2 linked regions of the Anolis sagrei genome follow. The protein of the gene in region 2 purifies or fractionates together with the protein of the main gene of each other region. This does not show direct contact. Links are inferred from orthologs where the notes say so. Each region holds a gene or a part of one and is shown on either strand. Other genes may lie near its edges.

Region 1 (7,300 bases), on a different chromosome or scaffold from region 2:
ATTGTGCCCCATACCCCAGTTTCTTTTCAATTAAAAAATACAATCGTTTAGTCTTGTGTTTTTGTTATTACAGGAGAGAAAAGCACAATATTGTCCAACATAAAGCTTGGTGCTCATTTTAACATTTATGACTAAGTATCAATCATGAATCCGGAACAGTTACAGTTCAGTAAATCTAGGTAACTGTTCTGTATTCACGACAGCTATTTAGTCACAATTGTGACACTATTGCGAGGATTGTAACTAGGCATGGATAGAGTCACGTCGGATAACTCGTTGCTTGTAATAATTTCATTAAAATTACCTTTTTGAAGCAATATTGAAGCTTTTAAAAAAATTGAAAGTCCTTTTGCTCTTCCTAAGCTTTTTCCGCCATTTTTGTTACAACTCAGGAAGTGAGTCGGAAATTATTCAGCTTTTCCCTGCTTCAGGTCCCTGGCCTCAGCTCAAGCCAGAGAAGCCAGTTTTAAACCAGAGAAGGAAGGAATTTCCTGGCCTCGGCTCAAGCCAGAGAAGCCAGTTTTAAACCAGAGAAGGAAGGAATTTCCTGGCCTCGGCTCAAGCCAGAGAAGCCAGTTTTAAACCAGAGAAGGAAGGAATTTCCTGGCCTCGGCTCAAGCCAGAGAAGCCAGTTTTAAACCAGAGAAGGAAGGAATTTCCTGGCCTCAGTTCAAGCCAGAGAAGCCAGTTTTAAAGTTCTGGTGCAAGCCTCTGACTCCAGCAGTCATTACTTAGGGCCTTTCCACACAGCCCTATATCCCAGAATACCCAGACAGAAAATCCCACAGTATCTGCTTTGAACTGGGTTATCTTGAGTCCACGCTGTCATATTTTCCAGTTCAAAGCAGATAATGTGGGATTTTATTCCGCTGTGTGGAAGGGACCTTAATGAACGGAATTTGTACCCTGCCTTTATCCCAATATGGGATCTTAAACTATTCACAATATAAATTAAAACCAGATACAATTACACAATGAATACAAAAGTTTACAAATTCATAACTATTTAAAATATTAATTCAAAACAATCCTTAACAGGCCATAAAATATAAGAACAACACCAGTAGATGAATAGTCCTGTTATGTACAGTTGAGGGCCACATGATCTCAGATATAAATAAACTTGTTTCTGGAAAGATTAAGTTTGTTGGAGAATAAATGGATACAAAACTTCTTCATGAAGACAAAAGAGCTATGGAAATAAATCGGAGATAATGTTGTGCTGAAGCAACAATCAAATTTGTTTGTTTGTTTAAATAAAACATCAGGAACCATCAACTTTTCCTGGCATATTATTAAAACCTAAATAGCAAAATTGAAACAATGGACCTGGCCTCAACTCTGCATAGAGAAGGCTATCCATAAACTCAGTGACCTGGAAAAGATGGCATGACTCAGATAGGTAACAGCAACTCTGAAGAGCAGCAGAAATCTATTGTTGGGATGACAGCTAATTCAGAATCAATTTCAGGATTGAGTGACAGTGTTGTTGAGCCACAGCACCCCCTCCCCAAATTGATCTGAACCTTCAGAGGGACTCCAAGCAAGAGATTCGAATTTCTTTTTATTGTTAAAACATTTTCCGCTCTTTCAAAGTTACGCAATATCGAAGCCTTTGGAGGTTCGGAAAGGATCCAGCAGCAACTGTACCCCGAACTATATCATGTCTAAACCCTTTAATAAATGTATAAAATATTTATTGTGTAACTTGTTTTGATTGTATACTATATCAATCCCTACATGTATAAAACTGTATCAAATACGTTATGAAGGCAGCTGTTTTTCTCAGTGCCCCCTATTTACAAAAGCTTCAGGGAACGGAGATTGCTGAACAATTAAAAAGGTTTCTCCCAGTGATCTCTCAAGCTAGATAATATCAGTTCCTTTATGTGTGTATACAAGACAGATAATCCCTTTATCGCCAGGGCTATGTTGACGCTGTTTTACCTGTTAAAATATGTCTGGAAGCTTATGGTTTAAAGAAAAGGCTAAAACAAATATGAATACATTAGCCTTCTGAAAGGGCAGTCAAGCCCTCCGGTCAGCCAGGATGGCCACCTTTTGTTTCCTGGGTCTTGCATCATTGTCTTCACTGAAATGAGAATTTAAATCAGTGATTCCCAACCTTTTTTTGACCAGGGACCACTCTCCAACTTTATTACCAAAAGGGTTCCGAATAAGTTTTTGGTTAACTTTTGATTCAGCATGGTTATTTGGGGTGCAGACTCAGAAAACTGCATTAGATAGACCACATAAGCTCTAGTTTCTGTACAGAACATATGACATCCAGTAGTCGCCATGTGCTCACCACAGATGGCAAAAACCATCTTTAATAAGCCTCAGCACTATAAGAGGGTTTCATGAGACCAGTCACTCTTGTTGCAATGGTGTAGTAACAGTAAGGTCGTGGACCATATTTTAGTTCTTGCGAACACGTGGTGGTCCATTTATTTATTTATTTTTATTTTAAATATTTATATCTCGCCCTTCTTCCCACAAGGGGGACTCAGCGCAACCTCACATGAGCATTAGAAGATACTAACAGCATAAATACCATAAAAATTACAATTCACAATAAAAACATTGTACGGTGGTGCAGTGGGTTAAAGCACTGTGCCGGCAGGACTGAAGACCGACAGGTCACAGGTTCGAATCCGGGGAGAGGCGGATGAGCTCCCTCTATTAGCTCCAGCTCCTCATGCGAGGACATGAGAGAAGCCTCCCATAAGGATGATAAAACATCAAAAATTATCCAGACGTCCCCTGGGCAACGTCCTTGCAGATGGCCAATACTCCTGACACGACAAAAAAAAAAAAGAGTAAAATTTAACAATAAATTAAAAATTAATGTGCCAGTAAAAACCAAGCCGAGCTGGGAGAATCTATATCACAAAATCCAAATTTCCTTTTCCTATTGCCACTGGTCTCTAATCAAATGCCTGGCCCCAGAGCCAGGTCTTCAGTTGTCTTCTAAAGGACAGGAGGGAGGTGGCCAACCTGATGTCCTTAGGGAGAGAGTTCCACAGACAGGGGGGTTCTACCGAGAAGGTAGTGTCCCTCGTCCCCACCAACAACATTTGCGAAAGTGGTGGGATCGAGAGCAGGGCCTCTCCTGATGATCTTAAGCTTTGTGATGGTTCATAGCAGGAGATACGTTCAGACAGGTAATCTGGACCAGAACTGTTCAGGACATTAGAATCATAGAGTTGGAAGAGGCCTCACGGGCCATTGAGTCCAACCCCCCGCTAAGAAGGAAAATTACATTCAAAGCACCCCCGACAGATGGCCATCCAGCCTCTGTTTAAAAGCCTCCAAAGAAGAAGCCTCCGGGGCAGAGAGTTCCACTGCTGAACAACTTTCACAGGAAGTTCTTCCTAATGTTCAGATGGAATCTCCTTTCTAGTAGTTTGAAGCCATTGTTCCACGTCCAAGTCTCCAGGGCAGTTGAAAACAAGCTTGCTCCCTCCTCCTTGTGACTTCCTCTCACATATTTATACATGGCTATCATGTCTCTTCTCAGCCGTCTCTTCTTCGGGCTAAAAAGGCTGAGCTCTTTTAGCCGCTCCTCATGGGGCTTGTTCTCCAGACCCTTGATCATTTTTGGCCACATTCCAGCTTGTCAATACCTCTCTTCAATTGTGGTGTGGTTGTACATTGTACAACGAAATGAAATGCTTTCCCCAGCATTCATGACAAAAACTACACACTCCAAACATTGAGCCCTGGCAGTTAAAGTGGTGCCAAACTGTGTTAATTCTAGTCTAGCTGCATTTTGTCACTGACACAAGTTTGTCATTAAGTTAAGACTAAGAATGGGCAAACTTGAGCCCTTCAGATGTTTTGGATTTCAACTCCCACCATTCCTAACAGCCTCAGGCCCCTTCCTTTTCCCCCTCAGCCGCTTAAGCGGCTGAGGGGGAAAAGGAAGGGGCCTGAGGCTGTTAGGAGCGGCTGAGGGGGAAAAGGAAGGGGCCTGAGGCTGTTAGGAGCGGCTGAGGGGGAAAAGGAAGGGGCCTGAGGCTGTTAGGAATGGTGGGAGTTGAAATCCAAAACATCTGAAGGGCACAAGTTTGCCTATGCCTGAGTTAGACACCGTAAGACACAGCCAAGACGTGTCTCTTTCCTTCCTGTCAATCACCTCCTTTGGTGGCTCCTGATTGGCTAAAAGAGAGAGAGAGAAAAAAAATGGCGGGGGAGGGGGGGAAAAGAGGAAAGGGGGCGGGGCTTGTGCCTTCCCGCGCTCTTAACCCCCCCCCATCCTTTCCCTCGCTTCTGAGTGCGCGCGCACTGCTGCTGCTGCTGCCGCGGTGACGTAGGCGAGGCGGAAGTGGGCGAGCCCGTTTGGAATTTTGGCGCGAGCGCGGAGCGTTGGCCCCCAACGTTCTGAGGAAGGGGAGTGGGAGGGGTCGCCCTTGGCGCGAGGAGAGGAGAAGGAGAAGGAGAAGAGAAGAGAAGGCGGCTGCATCCGGGTATTTGTGTGTGTGTGTCTGGCGAGAGAGAAATATTCCCTCAACACTTCAGAGGAAATTGGAGAGGCCAAGAGGCAAGGCGTTCCCTGCCTCCCAAATATGGGGGGATGTCTTAAATTGGGGAGAATTGAGAGGGGAAGGAAGGGAAAGGGGGGCTTGACAGATATCCTTTATTGTTAATGGTAATGCTGTATATTGGTGGAAGCATGGCTCTTTTCTCCCTCCCTTTGAGAATTAAGGTTGCCAGAATGTTGTGTTATTATGATGTTAGTGATGGAAATATAGTCTTTTTCTCCCTTCCTGTGTGAATTGAGGCTCCTAGGTGTCACTAAAATTATTATTATTGTGTGCTGGAGGAAATATTATCCTGTTTTCCCTCCCTCTCAGTTAAAGTTGCCAGATGACATTATTATTATTATTATTTGAAACACAACAAGATCAGTCCACAGCAGACAAGATCACTCTGCTGGCTGCTGTATTGGATCGCACGTCAGACACTTCCCAAGTGTATTATTATTATTTTATTATTATTATTATTATTTGAAACACAACAAGATGAGTCCACAGCAGACACTGTGCTGACTGTTGTATTGGATCACATGTCAGACACTTCCCAAGATGATGATGATGATGATGATTATTATTATTATCATTATTATTATTTGAAACACAACAAGATGAGTCCACAGCAGACACTGTGCTGACTGTTGTATTGGATCACACGTCAGACACTTTATTATTATTATTATTATTATTATTATTATTTGAAACACAACAAGATGAGTCCACAGCAGACACTGTGCTGACTATTGTATTGGCTCACACGTTGGACACTTCCCAAGTATATTATTATTATTATTATTATTATTATTATTATTATTACTATTATTATTTGAAACACAACAAGATGACTCCGCAGCAGACAAGATCACTCTGCTGGCTGTTGTATTGGATCACATGTCGGACACTTCCCAAGTGTCTAGGACTGTGTAATGTATCGGCGAATAATAATAATAATAATAATAATAATAATAATAATAATTTTACTGACACAAAAGCACAGTATGTCACAGCAAACGAGATCTATATGCTGGATTTTGTGTCACAAAATCACAAGTTGAAGACTTCCCAAGCATCCAGGACTGTGTGATGTATTTTCAAATTATGTGTATTATTATTATTGTTATTATTATTATTATTATTATTATTATTATTATTATTATTATTATTTGAAACACAACAAGATGACTCCGCAGCAGACAAGATCACTCTGCTGGCTGTTGTATTGGATCACACTTCAGACACTTCCCAAGTGTCTACGACTGTGTGATGTGTCGGCGAATAATAATAATAATAATAATAATAATAATAATAATAATAATTTTACTGACACAAAACCACAGTATGTCACAGCAAATGAGATCTATATGCTGGATTTTGTATCACAAAATCACAAGTTGAACCCTTCCCAAGCGTCTAGGGCTGTGTGATGTATTTTCGAATGAGGCATGCAGATCCAACTAAGGTGGCCTTTTGCAGTTGACAGATTGTGATTTTGTCAATATTTGTTGTTTCCAAATGCTGGCTGAGATCTTTTGGCACGGCACCCAGTGCGCCAATGACCACTGGGACCACCTGTACTGGTTTATGCCAGAGCCTTTGCAGTTTGATTTTGAGGTCCTGATAACGGCTGAGTTTTTCTTGTTGCTTTTCCTTAATGCGACTGTCACCTGGTATGGCGACATCAATAATCCAAACTCTTTTCTTTTCCACAGTTGTGATGTCTGGTGTATTGTGTTCCAAAGCTTTGTCAGTCTGGATTCGAAAGTCCCACAGTATTTTTGCGTGTTCATTTTCCACCACCTTTGCGGGTTTATGATCCCACCAATTCTTTACTGCTGGCAGGTGGTACTTGTGACATAAGTTCTAGTGAATCATTTGGGCCACAGAGTTGTGCCTTTGTTTGTAGTCCATCTTTGTGATTTTCTTGCAACAGCTGAGGAGATGACCATGGTTTCATCAGCTTCCTTGCACAGTCTGTATTTTGGGTCATCAGCTGATTTTTCAATCCTGGCCTTAATTGCATTTGTTCTGATGGCTTGCTCCTGGGCTACAAAAATCAGGCCTTCTGTCTCCTTCTTCATAACCATAACCAGGTATTCTCCTTATCAACTTTTCCTTCAATTTTGTCAAGGAACTGCCCATGCAATGCTTTGTTGTGTCAGCTGTCAGCTCTGGTTTGGAGTGCAGTTTTCTTGTACTGGTTCATTGTCTGCTGTGCTTTTAATATATATATATATATATATATATATATATATATATATTATTACTATCATCATCATCATTAGGTACGTAACAATATTAGTACGCCGCAAACAAGATCACTATGCTGGTTCTTCTATTGGATCATATGTCGGATACTTCCCAAATGGCTAGGACTGCTTGATGTATTGGCGAATGTTGCGTGCAGATCGGAGTCAGGTGGCCATTTGCAGCTGACAGATGGTCGTTTGTCAGCGCCGATTGTTTTTAAGTGCAGGACAAAGTCTTTAGGCACTGCACCCAGTGTGCCAATCACCACTGGGACCACCTTAACTGGCTTGTGCCAGAGTCTTTGCAGTTCGATCTTTAAATCCTCATATCGTGTCAGCTTTTCCAGTTGTTTCTCTTCAGTCCTGCTGTCACCTGGGATTGCAACATCAGAGATCCATACTTCGTTTTTTAACATGATTGTGAGGTCAGGAGTATTGTGCTCCAAAACTGTCAATCTGAATTCGGAAGTCCCAGAATAGTTTGACATGTTCATTTTCTGTAACTTTTTCAGGCTTGTG
Region 2 (7,543 bases):
AAAAGGAAGAGGGGCAGACCAAGGGCAAGATGGATGAATGGTATCCTTGAAGTGACTGGCTTGACTTTGAAGGAGCCGGGGGTGACAACAGCCAACAGGGAGCTCTGGCGTGGGCTGGTCCATGAGGTCACAAAGAGTTGGAAGTGACTGAACAACAAACCACCCCAAATTTCACTGCCATTTGGTGGAGAGACATGACACCAATAAAACCTTAACTGGCATGCAGGTTGGAGACTGTAAACATGTGGTTTGGGTAAATCAACTTTTCTTTCATCAACAATTTTCCTTGAAAATCTTCCCATGCTATAATTAATCCACCAACACTTAACAGACACTCAAAATTTGGGAAAATAGATTTCAGAAGCTGGGGAACAGATTTGGTGCTCAGGCTGCACAACCCTACCAATAGCTTATCAATAGCTTACCAAGTTCCCTAAGATAAAATAGTGTTTCCAATAACATTACCCAAACTATAGAAGTTATGGGGCAAAACATTCCTCTTTAAATGTAGCTTGGCCTTCCCTTTATCAAGTATAACTAGCCGCAGCTACTATATGAGACTGCAAAGCAAAAGAGAAACTAGATTAATCCATTTCCTCTGCTGAGAGATTAGCAGTTTTTCACTCTCATGTATACTGTAGAATCAATACAGTTTGACACCACTTTAACTACCATGGCTCAATGCTGTGGAATCATGGCAAGTGATGTTTTACAAGGTCTTTAGTTTTCTCTGCCAAAGTGTGCTGATGCCTCACCAAATTCCAAATGCTGTTGAACCATAGTTGTTAAAGTGGTGTCAAACTGAATTAAATCTACAGTACAGATCCATTCTGATCAGGGAAGCCACGGCCTTCTGTTTACAAGACTTGGTGACAAGGTGACTTGTTCGTCTTGTTGCAGCAAATTTTTGAATTACAAAAAGCCTCAAAATATAGGAAATCAACCAGCCTTTAATTTTAGCATTCTGCCTTGACAGATTGAAAAAAACAGCTTTCTCCTCACTGTGTTTTCTTTTCTGAATGGGATCCCTTAGATCATGTAGTCTTACTTACTTTTTTACCAAACAGAAATGTAACACTGCAGCACTATCAGTCTATTCATAAGGTCATCATATCTTGAAGTCAACTCGATGTCAGTTCATAACAACCTGAAATGTTCCATTCCAGCTGATTGTGATAGGAAATGTGTTTTCCAGAATTGGTGGCCGAGCCTGCTTTTTTCTTCCTCATTCCTCTTCCTTGCTGTTTGTGTGTCATACTTTTTAGATCTTGAGCTTAAGGGCAGAGAGTATCTTACTTGTGAACTTGAATGTTAAAATATTTATCTTTATTTTAAGGTGGTTTACATTAAAATGCCTTATTTTTTAACAGATATCCATTTGCACTTTGATCCAAGCACTTTGCAAATCTGCTATGATATGTACCATTTAGATCAGAGCTTTTCAAACACTGTGTGTTGTGACATCTTAGTGAATCAGCTGCACTGTGTAAGTATGTTGGGCAAATATAACAAGACTCCTCAGAGTCTATGGAAAAGAAGCAATAAATCATATATTTTAAAAGGAAATGTTTCCATGAGATAGGTTGTGTCCTCCCACATTTCTTTATCACAATTGATGTATGTGTCTGTACCTCTTATGAGGAGTTAGTGTAACCTCCAGTTTACTAAGAAAACTGAATTGAAATGTTTGGAAAGCTCTGGTTTAGATCACGGTGGGCAACACACAGACTATTTCAAATGATAAAGAACAACAAACCAGAAATGGCTGGATGGATCTCATTTTTGAAAGAAAAAATGAGTATTTTTTAAAGCTTCCCTGATGAATTCACCTTTTCCCAGAAGAGCCATCCAAGGTCCTGGAGCGAGTAAAGGAGCCATAATAAAGCTTAGGGGCTCCTCGCAGTCCAAAGGATGTGCTTTGTATAAGATAGTCATTAACTTTTGGGAGCCTTAAAGCAAACTAAAGCAAACAAATAAGGTATGAAGATTAAGACTGCTTAGCCTCTTTGTGTCTTGGAGCTCTTCCTGTGATGTGGATTTTGAAGGAAAGACTGTCCATACCAGTTTCAAACAATGTTGACCTACTTTCTTCAAGGTCTTGTTGTCTCTTCTAGAATTAGATGGGCTAAGAGTCGACATAGTGGAATCATTGGATTTGTACTTTGAATCAATGTAGTTTGACACTACTTTAACTTCTGTGATTAAATGCTATGGAATCATTAGATTTTAGTATGGTGAGGCACTAGCACCCTTTGGCAGAGAAGGCTGAAGATCTAATAAAACTACATCTCCCATAGCATTGAGCCGTTGCAGTTAAACTGCATACTTTCTGCAGTGTAGATGTATCTGTAGTTTCGTTTTTTTGTTTTTGTTTTGCCACTGAGGGGAATAAGGGCAACACAAATATCTGATGAACATCTAAACTTTTGCACCAAGGACTCAAGAGGTGACGGACTATTAAGAATAATTCAAAGGCTATTTAGAGTTCGCACACTTTAAATGTCAATCCCTATTGTTTTAGTGTGAGAGACTGAAGCGCTTCACCTGGGAGGATAGTATACTAAAGTTTTCTTTTCAGGCAGGCTTTTAAGGAAGAATGTTTTGAAGAATGGACCAGAGATGCTGTGTTGTATGTAGTTTAATAGATTTTTGAATGGTTTGATTGATCTTAACTACATATTTTAATACCTCTATATGTATATTGAAACTTGTGTGCCGGCTGCGCTCATATCTTGGGAAGTCAGACTTGGCCACAGTGGTCCATGCTGTTGTTACATCTTGAAAAGACTACTGTAACATACTCTAAGTGTGGCTGCCTTTGAAGACTGTTTGGAAGCAGCCACATTCCTCACTGGGGCGACATACAGGGAGCATTCAATCCCCGTAACATCAGCTCCACTGGTTGCCAATCTGCTACCGAGCATAATTCAAAGTGCTGGCTTTGGCCTATAAAGCTCTAAATGGCTCCAGTCCAACTTACCTGTCTGAATGTATCTCCCTCTATGAACTGGTTAGAGAGATAAAATCTGTGAGGGAGGCCCTGTTCTTGGTCCCACCCACATTGCAAGCGCGACTGGTGGAGACGAGAGTCAGGGCCTTCTCAGTAGTGGCCCTCAGCTATGGAACTTCCTCTCTAGAGATATCAGATTGGCCCCCTCCTTCCTGGTGTTCAGGAAAAAAGTGAAAACCTGGTTATGGGATTGGCTAGGCGTTGGATTTTTGGGCTATATGGTCATGTTCAGGAAGCATTCTCTCCTGACGTTTCACCTGCATCTATGGCAAGCATCCTCTGAGGTTGTGAGGTCAGGAGAGAATGCTTCTAGAACATGGCCATACAGCCTGTAAAACCTACAACAACCCAGTGATTCCAGCCATGAAAACCTTCGACAATTCAATAATAATTTAGACCAATTCTCACTCCAGGGGTGTTTCTACACTTCCTGGTGGACAGGAGATACTCCATTTCCCTGAAAGAAAGAAAAAGACTTAACTGGAAAAGAAACCCTAGGGTGTTTGTAATATAACCCATACCCCCGTTTATTTATTTATTTGTGTCAGGAGCGACTTGAGAAACAGCAAGTCGCTTCCGGTGTGAGAGAAATGGCTGTCTGTAAGGACGTTGCCCAGTGGACACCCGGATGTTTTGATGTTTTACCATCCTTGTGGGGGGCTTCTCTCATGGCCCTGCATGGGGAGCTGGAACTGACAGAGGGAGCTCTTCCACGCTCTCCCTAGATTCGAACCTCTGACCTGTTAGCCTTCAGTCCTGCCAGCCCCAAAATAAATCCCAGTTTTAGTGTGAGAGATTGATGATCGAACCGGATGATCGAACCGGATTATATGAGCCTACACTTCCAGATAGTCCGGTTCAAAGCAGATAATCTGGATTTTATATGGCAATGTAGAAGGGGCCTGAGGCTGTGAGGAATGGTGGGAGTTGAAGTCCAAAACACCTGGAGGGCCCAAGTTGGCCCATACCTGATCTACAGTTAATAAGGGTGGAATTAATCAGGATTTGACATCACTTTAACTGCCATGGAATCCTGGGAGTTGTAGTTTTACAAGGTCAGTAGCTTTCTCTGCCTCACCAAACTACAACTCCATGATTGCATAGCATTTTGGGCTGGGAAGCTAAAATGGTGTCAAAATGCATTCATTCTACAGTGTAGGTGCACCCTCGGTAAAGTAATTGTGGGCTAGTAACTCATCCTAAGTATAAATCACTCTATCATTCAACTGGGTTGGATTTAGGAAACCCAACGCCACGCCTCTTGGAGAAGAAAGTGACGTCAGCGACAAAAACAACCACCATTTCTAATCCCGGCTCCAGACATGCGCATTGCCGTCGGGCCGTCTCGCAATTGTTTTTCCCCCTTCTCCCCCTGCACTTGCTCACAATGGTTTCTCCGCCTCCCTCACGGCGTCTTCTGATTGGTGGAAGTAGTCAGAGGACCAGGAGAAACCATAGCGGGCGGGGAGGAACCAAATAGACGCGCACCACGTGACGGCGCGCGCTCCCGGCCGCCCAATCGGCGTCGAGGTGTGGGATTCAAATGGAGAGTTGCGCCAGGCGCGTCTGTTAGCCACGGAAGAGCGCTGGGCCGGTGAGGTGGTTTCGGCTGGGATAGAGGCCGCCTTCTTCTTTTTCTTCGCCGCTATGTCTCACAAACAGATCTATTATTCGGACAAATACTACGACGAGAACTACGAGTACCGGTGAGAGAGAGAGAGAGAGGGGGGCTATTTCTCTTTGAGGAATTGTGGGTGTTGAAGGCCAAAACACCTGAAGGGCCGAGGTGGCCCATACTTGATCCTCACTGTAGAATGAATGTAGTTTGACACCACTATAACTGGCATGGCCCAAGTTTTTGGGCTCCTAGAATTTGTAGTTTGGCAGAGAAGGCTAAAGGCCTTGTAAAACTAACGGGGAGGTCTCTTTTTCCCTTCCTCCATTTTCAGCCTTGGAGTTAGGCAGTGATTCTCAGCCTGTGGGTCCCCAGGTGTTTTGGCCTACAACTCCCAGAAATCCCAGCCACTTTACCAGCTGTTAGGATTTCTGGGAGTTGAAGGCCAAAACATTTGGGGACCCACAGGTTGAGAACCACTGAGTTAGAGCCTAGATACCTTAAGGCTCCAGATCCTGCCTGCTCTTGGAAGCTGAGCAGGGTCAGCCCTAGTTAAGAGATTGGATGGGAGACATCAGGAAGAAGTTGGCAAACCCACCTCTTGAGTTCCCTTTGGTTAAGAAAACCCTATCTAGTGATTCCTGAAATTTGGATCTCCTGTTTTGGATTTAAACTCCCAGAATCCTCAGCCAACAGTTATGAATTCTGGGAAGAGAAGACCAAGACATTGGAACATCATAGTTTGGAAAACACTGACCAGTGCAGTTAACTTGAAGGTGTGATATTCATGAACTGAAACTGGGGAACTAAGTTAAAAGATGGAGACTGGCCCAAATTGCCATTAACAAACTCCATGTATGAATTAATTGTGAGTGTGGATCACCCAGTATGAGGACAGCACTATCCACTCAAACACACTGGGTATTGCTAATGGCCTTTTCATGTAGTTGAGACCCTTGTGTGTAGTGTAAACTCTTTGCTGTCTTTATTGTGATTTCTGATTACCATGTTGCCACCCTAAAACCTGCAAATCATCTACACAAGAAGCAACTTGCAGTTTCTCAAGTCACTCCTGACACGGAAAAAAAATTCTACCCAATAATCTTTCAAAGTATGGGTTAAGAGAAAGCTGAGAGGAGACATGATGGTCATGTATAAATATGTGAGGGGAAGTCATAGGGAGGAGGGAGCAAGTTTGTTTTCTGCTGCCATGGAGACTAGGACACGGAACAATGGCTTCAAACTACAGGAAAGGAGATTCCACCTGAACATTAGGAAGAACTTTGGACAGATATACAAAAGCAGTGGCTCTGGGGGAGGGGAACACGGTGGTGAGGGATAGAAAATATGTATCTGTAAAAATAACAGTAGATGCTAAAAGTTAATGTATGGTAGATTGTATTGAATATTATGTGCCTGCCGTAAAAAAAATGTATAACAAATGTATTGAATTATATTTTTAAAAAATAAAGGAAGAACTTCCTAACTGTGAGAGCTATTCAGCAATGGAACTTTCTGCCCCAGAGTGTGGTGGAGGCTTTTAAATAGTGGCTGGATGGCCATCTGTCAGGGGTGCTTTGAAAGCTATTTTCCTGCTTCTTGGCAGGGGATTGGACTGGATGGCCCAACTCTATGATTCTATGATCAAATAATCTAAACATTTTAAGGTATGCAAGCAGCAGCTTATACACTTGATAGTTCAGGGTCCCCTTTTCTACCAAACGTATTGTCTACATTTTTTTTTAAAAAAAGCATTAGAAATAATTCTTGCAAGGTTTTGCCAATTATCATTTCATCAATACGAAACAATGATTGTTTTCAAAATGAAAGAAACATGAGTCATTGAAATTTCTGCCCCTGGTAGACATGTGATGCTGCCAAGAGAGCTCTCAAAACAAGTACCGAAAACTCATCTAATGACCGAAGAAGAATGGCGACGACTTGGAGTCCAACAGAGCCTTGGCTGGGTCCACTACATGATTCATGAACCAGGTAAAAGGATTCAACTGTACTGGGAAGGTGGGTGGGGATGATCTCTAAATAAGAGTAGAAGTTATGAACATGTACAGGTTGTGTTGATTAACCTTGCATGCTTAAACTTAAAAAATTGATGCAGTAATTAAACATTTTTTCTTCAATTGCTCTTTTGACACATGTTAATCGTATTTGGTAACGTTTGTGTTTAAGGGCACTGTATAAATGCTCTAAATAAACAAGGGCCTGTTCAAAAGAAAGCACACTCACCTAGCTTATAGTTAATTTCGATCCTCCCAAGTGTAAAAGGGTTTTTTCCCAATGGGGTTGCTGAGCATAAACCGAATATTGAATGAATTTATAGTTATGGCACTATGTATATCCTTCAGCACCTATTTGCCTGATTTTTAAATTGGAGCCTAATATTTGTGTACTTGTTTAATTTGCAATCACATTGTGTTTGTTTTGCATGCTTTTTAAGGGAGGCAGAACTACTCGGGATTGCCCCCCCCCCCCCAGTCAAAATCTCCAGATCTAAATTCTCCTTGTTCAGAATATAAAATCAGTTTAGCGATTGCAGTGTTAAATGAATGAGCAGAGTAAGATGTATCAGACTGCAGTTTTTCAACAGGCAGCTGAAAGCTCCTTTGCTTTTCTTTTTACAGAACCACACATCCTCCTTTTTAGAAGACCACTTCCAAAAGGCCAGCAGAAATGACTTCTCTCAACTTCTGGAATCTTTTGTAAAAATGTATATATGTTGGTAGTATTCAGTGAATACTTGAGAATGTACAAATACGTCATTACCTGTGCATGAGCTGTATTATTCACAGCAACAGAGCTCAGTAAAGTGCAAACGAAGTAGGCTGCTATGATCATAAACTCTTACTGTTAACAAGTGCCTATTTGATCTTGTCTATTTTGTTCAATAACGTTTATGACTT

What was found. The genes of interacting proteins can lie anywhere in the genome.
Region 1: the proteins of CKS2 (region 2) and PKMYT1 purify together in Homo sapiens (affinity purification with mass spectrometry; 3 studies listed by BioGRID and IntAct, counting the BioPlex papers as one, with this or other methods). This does not show direct contact. The link is inferred for Anolis sagrei from reciprocal best matches to the Homo sapiens genes CKS2 and PKMYT1.

The regions. Positions count from the first base shown.
Region 1 is NC_090026.1:23,688,060-23,695,359, reverse strand, and holds the start of PKMYT1 (membrane-associated tyrosine- and threonine-specific cdc2-inhibitory kinase), read left to right. Parts: upstream 1-4,297; 5' UTR 4,298-4,543; intron 4,544-7,300. UniProt on the Homo sapiens protein: Acts as a negative regulator of entry into mitosis (G2 to M transition) by phosphorylation of the CDK1 kinase specifically when CDK1 is complexed to cyclins. Mediates phosphorylation of CDK1 predominantly on 'Thr-14'. Also involved in Golgi fragmentation.
Region 2 is NC_090022.1:234,206,041-234,213,583, forward strand, and holds the start of CKS2 (cyclin-dependent kinases regulatory subunit 2), read left to right. Parts: upstream 1-4,529; 5' UTR 4,530-4,657; coding exon 4,658-4,716; intron 4,717-6,489; coding exon 6,490-6,617; intron 6,618-7,264; coding exon 7,265-7,317; 3' UTR 7,318-7,543. UniProt on the Homo sapiens protein: Binds to the catalytic subunit of the cyclin dependent kinases and is essential for their biological function.